Tamandua tetradactyla: one gene and its partner. The protein of the gene in region 2 purifies or fractionates together with the protein of the main gene of each other region. This does not show direct contact. Links are inferred from orthologs where the notes say so. Each region holds a gene or a part of one and is shown on either strand. Other genes may lie near its edges.

Region 1 (3,908 bases), on a different chromosome or scaffold from region 2:
CTCCTCTTCCCTAGTCCAGTGCTCTTCTTTTTTTAAAAAATATTTTTACTGAGATCGCATCATGCACACATAGCCCATCCAAAGTATACAATTAATAGCTCACAACAGCATCACAGTTGTGCACTTAACACCATGATCATTTTCTGAACACTTGCATCACTCCAGAAAAAGAAAAAACTCATACATCCCATACCCCTTATCCTCCTTCTCACTGATCACTAGTATTTCAGTCTACCCAAATTTTTTTAACTCCTTATCCCCCCCATTATTCATTTCTTTATTTTGTCTGTATTTTTTTTTAACTAATCTGTCCATACCCTGGATAAAGGTAACATCAGACATGAGGTTTTCACAATCACATGATCACACTGTAAAAGTTATATAGTTATACAATCGTCTTTAAGAATCAAGGCTACTGGAACACGTTCAACAGCTTCAGGTACTTCCTTCTAGTCACTCCAATACACCACAGACTAAAAAGGGATAGTGTGCCAGTTTGAATCTGTTGTGTACCTCAGAAAAGCCATGTTCTTTAATCCTCATTCAATATTGCTGGGTGGGCTCTTTTTTATTGTTTCCATGGAGATGTGACCCACCCAATTGCAGGTGGTAACTTTTGATTAGATGGTCTCCGTGGAGCTGTGTGGGGTTCAAGGGGGGGGTTGCTTACTATAGCGCTTTAAGAGGGAACAATTTTTGGAAAGAGCCAACAGAACCAACAGAGCTCACACAGTCAGAGACCTTTGGATATGCCTAAAGAAAACACCCCTGGGGAAGCCACTGAAGAAGCCTGGAGAGAAAGCTAGCAGATGTTGCCATGTGCCTTTCTAGCTGAGAGAAATCCCAAACATCATCAGCTTTCTTAAGCCAAGGTATCTTTCCCTGGAAGTCTAATTTGGACATTTTCATGGTCTTAGAACTGTAAACCTGCAACTTAATAAATTCCCCTTTTTAAAAGCCATTCCGTTTCTGGTATATGGCATTCCGGCAGTTTTTACAAACTAAAACAGATCTCTATATAATGCATATGAGTAACTTCCAGGATAACCTCCCAACTGGATGAAATCCCTTAGCCACTGAAACTTGTCTCATTTCTCTCTTCCCTCTTTTGGCCAAGAAGGCTCTCTCAACCCCATGATGCTGGGTCCTGGCTTATCCCCAGGAGTCCTGTCCCATGTTGCAGGAAGAGTAACACCTCTGGGAGTCGTATTCCAAACATAGGGTGGGGGGCAGTGAATACACCTGTTGAGCTGTCTTAGAGAGAGAGGCCACATCTGAGCAAAAAAGAGGTTCTCTGGGGGTGACTCTTATGCAGTCATTCGGGAGCCCAGCTTCTCCTTTGCAGGGCTAAATTTCAAAGGGGCAAACCCCAAGATCAAGGGCTCAGCCTATTGAATGGGTTGTTCCCACTGCTTGCAGGAATAACAGGAATTCTCCAGATGGGGAAACTGAATATTTCTGCCTTTCTCTCAGTACTTAAGGGGACTTTGCAAATACTTTTTTTTATTCTCTGCTCAGCTTACTCTGGGAAGTAAAAGGGCATTACACTAATCTACACAAACCAACAAGATCTCACACCCTATTCAAGATTCCATATAATTATGGTGTTCAAATAAACTGATCATACAAGTTAAATTGGATAATACACTACCTGAAACAGAAAAAACCCACACCTCTTCCTTTGGTCTCACATAGAAGTTGAAGTTTAAAAATATGGACCATTTCATCCTTTACCCTGTACTCTGATTTACCTTAGTCCTGTCCAAATCAGCTTCACTTATACCTCTAATCAAAGTCTGATCACTTTTTTTTACTTTTTAAACAGTTGCTGTATGGGATAATGCTAACTTTCACAGCTTCAGAACTCTGACTCTGCCTCAGGTGTCACATAAAATACTCAAAATTTCAGGGAACGACCAGTTTATACACAAATTGCTCAGTATCTCAGAATTTAGAAATAACAGCTACAACTCCAGAACAGACGTGACTGCTTCAAGAGCTTACAATCTAGGACCCTTCACAATAGGCCCCAATCTGATAACCCATGCCTTTGACTTCAATTCTCCAAGTTTGTATATTATAGTTAGTCCATATGAGTGAGGCATGATAATACGTCTTTTTGTTTCTGACATTTCATTCAATATACTGTCCTCCCGTTTCATTCACCTAGTTGCATGCCTCACAATTCAGTGCTCTTTCTACTGGCTGTAGATCGCTTCTCGGTCTTGTGTAGTGGGGACCCCAAAGCTGCCATTCAAGCCAGTGCCTGGGAAATAAAGCCTGCCAAGGGGGAGCCCTACCTTGTTGTCATCTGTGAACGGCGGCCCCTTCGCTGCACCTGTCTGTGCTTTATCATGATGTTCCAAGGATTCTGTGGGGATCAAGGAAGCAGACGTCACCGATCCTGTGACATAATGGTGGGGTTGCGAGGATAGGTAGAAGTTAAACCTAGAAATCCTTGCTTTTCAGATCCCTTCATCGCCTCTCCAACCTTGGGGTGTGGGGAATAGCAGCGGTTGGAAGACCCTGACCGGGAAGAACTGAGGAAAAGCTCCTGCCTCGAAAGTCTCAACCCCACTTTTTTTCTGTAACGGTAGAAGGAAGGGACCCAGCGTTGGTAGAGGGCCTACTCTGTGGCAGGTGACATAGCCACATTTATCATCCCATGCCCACAACAAGTCTAGGAGGCAGCTACTAATCATCTCCATTTTGTATTAGAGGAAACTGGAACTCAGGGAGTTGACAGAACGGGTCCACGTCACCTAGCTAAGGGGGCGGCACCAGAATTTGAATCCGGGTCGTCGGGCTGGGAAAACGCCAACTCCCTCGACAGCACCAGACTCCGCGTTCTCTCGCCCGCGGGCCAGGGTCCCGGGAGCCCGAGGCCCCGTCCGGCCCGAGCCCAGGTCCAGCCCTGGCCTCACCGGGGGCGCCCTCACCGTGAGAACCAGCTGCCCCGCTGAGCCCGCGTCCCCATGCTCGGGGCCACCTCGCTCTGCCCCGCCGGGTCCCCGCGGCTGCTCGGCTTCCCCAGTAGCCCCCATGGCGTCCCCGGTCCCCACAGCTTCAGTCCGACTTTGCCACCGGCCGGAAGGTGGCTTCGTGACGTCATTGGGCCGCGCCACTCGCTAGCCCGGAAGCGAGCTAAGGCGAGCGGCGCAGTTGTCATGGGAACCGAACCGCTGCCACTGGCCGGGGTGCGGGGTTCGGAGAAGCCTTGTGTGTGTGGGTTGCTGCAGGTTTCTCCAGCGAGGGCGCTGCGCCTCAGGAGTGGGCGTTCGGTCGGTAGTGAGCTTATAGGTGGCATTCAGTCAAGGGCCGTTCTGCCAAGCGCGGTGTAGGAGGAGGGGAGCAGGTTTCCATGGGCTGGGATTAGGGAGCGGAGGCGGGTATTTTGTACAGCGGTGTCTGCAGTTCAGTTTTCGGAAATTTTGTATTTGAATATGCCCGGCACTCAGCCCCGGGAATTAGAGTGCGACCTGAAGTGGATGAGGGGGTGTGGGGGTTGGGTGGGCGGCGGGACAAAACCCTGCAAGACTGGTCTGGCCCATGCCATCCCAAACACCCACAGCTGCATCTTTCTAGGCCTTGAGAGATCTGAAGGCATCAGGTGACATTTGGGTCTTGGCTTGTGGATTTCCTCTGTTCCAGGGAGCTGGGCTTCTCTTCCGCACAAGACTGATGATTCTGGGATAGGCTGGGGATGTAGAAATTTAATCGCTGTAGAGTTTATCTGTTATGGCTCGAAAGTGAGTCCTTGCCTGATGTGCACAGCCAATCACTACACACTTGGATTTTGAGGAGAGAAAGAAGTTATTGCTAAACTCAAAGCAAGGAGATTAGAAGGCCTATGGATCATAAATCTGTCTCCCCAAATTGGAGAAACTTTCAGCGTTTTATACCATTCA
Region 2 (3,908 bases):
AAGAGTGAATTATGATTCATGGGCCTTTAAATCTTTATTACCACAAGAACATTCTCAGTAGAAGGGGGGGGGGGGGGGAGCTTCTGTGCCTTGATTAATGGCCAGAGCAAGACAAATAAAATAAATCTCATAAATATAAGGAAATAACCCTAAATGACCATTCTTAGTTTCGAGGTTAGGCATGCAAATAATTCCACTATCCTGGGATAAACACACATAAAGATTCTGTTTACCCTTCCAGCATTTACACCAACCAGACTCAGATTTTCAGCTGGTAAAAATAATAGCTAATTTGTCTAAATAACGCCTAGGTTAGGAACATTTGAAAAGTGACAATAATAGTTAATTCCCGACTAATTCAACTTTCAAAAACTGCCAAATATCAAATCCTCAATCTGGAAATCTGATGACAGGAAGGAAAAAAAATAAGCATATCTATCAGAAACATGTAGAGAGCTTTTCTTTTTTTTTTTTTTTTAACTCATCTTTCACCAAACTAGAATTGAGCCTGTCTAGAAAACCTCGAAAAGCTAACCAACTTAAGTTGATCCCACTGCCTTGTGTTTACTCCCTGGCCCTACTAAGCATCTCTGGATCTGTTCCTCTGGTGCTAAAATTATCGTGGCAAAGTTAAAACTCCCACACAATCAAGGGTGGGTACCTGACAGCCAGGACCTACAACCCATTTGCAGAAATCCACAGGCTGAGGACCAGGAAACCAGAGGCAAGGAGAGACAAAGACTGCTAGTTAACTAGTTAAGTGGTGAGTACTCCGGCTTGTTATCCTTACAGGGTCATCCAAGCCACATTTTCCAGCACCAGACTCCTTTCTTGAAAGGGTGAATGATGCTGAAGGTTGGCACCAACTGAAAAAACTTAAAATTCCTTTCTCAAAGCTCTCCTCCGAGGCCTGCTGCAAAGTCACCCGGACCGGTTTTTAGGGGGCCTTTTTAAGAGAAATCACGGGTCATTCCTGCATCGGTCATTCCTAAGCACCACTCCACACACAGCCATGCCACGCTGTTAGCAACCCGCTTCAACAGTCCACTTGCCAGAGCTGCGCCTCTCTGGGGAGAGTTTCCACAAAGCTGGCTCTAACAGCCCAGTCGAAGGCGACGGAGGAACCAGAAGGCCTTTTCTTTTCACCTAAGGATGGCAGGCGCACCCGCTCCAGCCCACTGCCGGCCACAGGCTGCCAGCCAGGTGCTCTCGGCGTCCGCCGGGGAGTTGGTGCTTTTTCTTTTCTTTTTTTAATATCTATTTCCCCAGACCACCAGTAGTAACTTCTCAGTCTCCCAAACTAAAGTTGGGGAATGAAGGAGCAGGTTTACCCCCATGCACACTCCACTTCTCCCATCTGGGTGGCCACACCAACTTCTGGGGGGTACCCAAAACCCCACAGAGCCCGCAGGCGCGTATTCGTACACATATGCATCATGTCAAAAACCCCAAAAGGCACATCCCCAGGGTCCTGTGGTTTCTTAGCTGGAAGAATGAAGGCTTTATAACATCGCAACCATCAACTGCAAGCCCCAACACCACTACCCTACCAGCGGGGGCTGCCAATTATAGCGTCCACCTCACCCCTCCCCCTTTGCTGGGATGCTGTGCAGCCCAGAGAGGGAAGAGGGAAGAAGGGAAGCAGGGAGAAGGCCCTGCTTACATACTGAAAGTAAAGAACGGGGGTGGGGTGGTTTCCTTCTCCATCCCCCACTATTCCCTCCCCCACCGCCCAGTCTTCTCACGGAGCATCTTCCAACTAATTTTTTTTTAATGAAAGTTAATAAGATTCTTGCCTACCTTGGCTGTCTCTGCAACAAGTGCATGGGCAATCCGAGAAGATCGATCTCCGCTTGGGGGGTGGGGTGGGGGACGAGCAGAGCTGATGGAGTAATTTCAATATTAATTTATGTCAGAGCCGCCTCCTCGCAACGCTACTCATTTACAGTACTGCCCTCAGCCTGTAAACAAATATCGCTCCGCCAGGAAACATACTCCCAGATGCAAACCCCTCTCCCCATCAGGGAACCTGGCTCCTCGCCCCCGCCCCCCATCCAACACCATGCTCCCCCACCCCCACCCCCCTGTAGGAAGCTCCCGGCTTCGGAAGCATCAACCCACCATCTCCGCCACCACCCCAGCAAGAAACTTACTCGGTCCGTCTACGCCTCCACCCTCCCTTCAGGAAATCTACTCTCCATATGCATTCAGCCTCCCCGCAGGAAATCTGCTCCCCCCTCCCCCCTCCTATATGCATGCACCCCTCCCTCTCCTCCTCCCCACGCGCCCTCCCCGACCAGAAACTTACAAGCGAAAAAGCGTGCAGGCTCTCCCGATCCTGGAAACTTACTCCCAGATATAGCGCCCGCCAGCCCCCTTTTCCCGGCCCTGCTCCCCTTCCTGCCCTCCGCCGCAAGCAACTCCAAACTCTCCGCATCCAGCCGCTCTCCCTCCCCGGTGGAAATTTGCAGCGCCCGGCTGCGCGCGTGCACCCACCCTCCCCTTCAGGAAACTTACTCCCCATCTGCATGCACCGCCTCTCAGCCATCGCTTAGAGGGAAGGGGGTGTGCTGGGGAGACAGAAATACATATGTATCTCTCGCCCCTCCCCCGGTCGCAGCCCACTCGGGGCCGAGCCGCGACAACCTGGCCTTACCTTTTGCATTGCTTTCCACCCTCGTCTCCCTCCTTTAACCCTCCTTATCCCCTCCCAGCCCCCCCTTTTTACCCATTACCCACCCCTAGCAACCGTTCCCAAGCTCCTCTCTGCCTTTTTTTTTTAATCCAGGATGCAAATTCCTCCCCTGTCAGCAAATCGACTGTCAAATTATTTTCTTGCAAAAGGAGAAAGGCGGGGTGGGGGGTGGGGGGGAGCAGAAGCAAAATGGGGAGGGGGAGGCGCGGGGAGAGGGAAGGAGAGGGCTAGAAGAGGGGAGAGATATCCCTCCGCAGAGCTGGTCTGGCCGCAGGCGGGGAAGCAGGAAGTAAGGTGTCCAGCGCCGCGGCCGGCCGGCCCTCCGCCGCTGCCCCCGCCCGCGCCTCCTGCCCCCCAGGGTGCCGCGCTCGGGCAGGCGCGGGCCGCTCCGCGCATTGTTCGCAGCCTTCGCGGCGGTGCGCGGCTGACTTTATTTGTGTGCTCTGCATGTGCATGAGGTTGCACCTTTTGTAGGCTGGCGAGTCTCAGCGCGAGGATGGGGCAGGGGGCGCGGGCCCCGCTGCCGCCTCGCGTAGGACCTGTCAGCAGGCCCCGGCGTGCGGACTCTCTGGCATGGCTGGAAAATCGAGGTCCGGGAGAAAGCGGCGTGGCCGGGAAGCTGCCCCCTACACCCGGACCAGTGCAGATTGCTTCCTGCGTAGCCGTCCGGGTTATTGTAACGCGCTTTGCAATTTTAACGACCGGGGTTTGGGCTTCTTTGGTTTTTTTCTTTAGAAGGTTGCAACGATGCCGAGGCCTAAGCGGGCTGTGGGGAGACAATCCGCGTACGCATCGCACCCTGGCCTGGGTGGGTTTGGAAAAGGGGCTGGGGCTCCGGGGAAGGGGCTGGAGGTTCCTGAAGCGCGCGACTCCATCCCTCCGCCCCGATGGGGGCGGGGAGGGGGTGCTGCAGACCGCGCTGGAAATGCAGCTCTCTGGGGAGGGGTCTCCATCTCCGCTCAGCGGGCCGGGGTGGGAGGTTGCCTAGGAGAGGGGCCGGGGCCGGGCGGCTGGAGGGGAGAGAAGGGGAGGGGGGACTGGAGTGCCGCCGCGGCCCGCGCCCGCCCCCCTAGCGCGCCATGACTGTGGAACGTGGTGCCGGGGAGGAGGGACGGCCGCCGGGGGCCGCCCGGGGCTGCTCGGCATTGGTGCGGAAACCCGAGCCGAGAGTTGCTCCCTCGCGCTGTCTCCTCCTCTGCGGGGGAAACCGCTG

What was found.
Region 1: the proteins of TRERF1 (region 2) and DNTTIP1 purify together in Homo sapiens (affinity purification with mass spectrometry; 3 studies listed by BioGRID and IntAct, with this or other methods). This does not show direct contact. The link is inferred for Tamandua tetradactyla from reciprocal best matches to the Homo sapiens genes TRERF1 and DNTTIP1.

Annotation. Positions count from the first base shown.
Region 1 is NC_135327.1:6,432,892-6,436,799, forward strand, and holds the start of DNTTIP1 (deoxynucleotidyltransferase terminal-interacting protein 1), read right to left. Parts: upstream 3,114-3,908; 5' UTR 3,045-3,113; coding exon 2,940-3,044; intron 2,885-2,939; exon of another isoform or gene 2,763-2,884; intron 2,372-2,762; coding exon 2,301-2,371; intron 1-2,300. UniProt on the Homo sapiens protein: Increases DNTT terminal deoxynucleotidyltransferase activity (in vitro). Also acts as a transcriptional regulator, binding to the consensus sequence 5'-GNTGCATG-3' following an AT-tract.
Region 2 is NC_135331.1:100,031,402-100,035,309, forward strand, and holds the start of TRERF1 (transcriptional-regulating factor 1), read right to left. Parts: upstream 2,878-3,908; 5' UTR 2,740-2,877; exon of another isoform or gene 2,657-2,739; intron 2,651-2,656; exon of another isoform or gene 2,518-2,650; intron 2,495-2,517; exon of another isoform or gene 2,309-2,494; intron 2,205-2,308; exon of another isoform or gene 2,154-2,204; intron 2,142-2,153; exon of another isoform or gene 2,122-2,141; intron 1,883-2,121; 5' UTR 1,801-1,882; intron 1-1,800.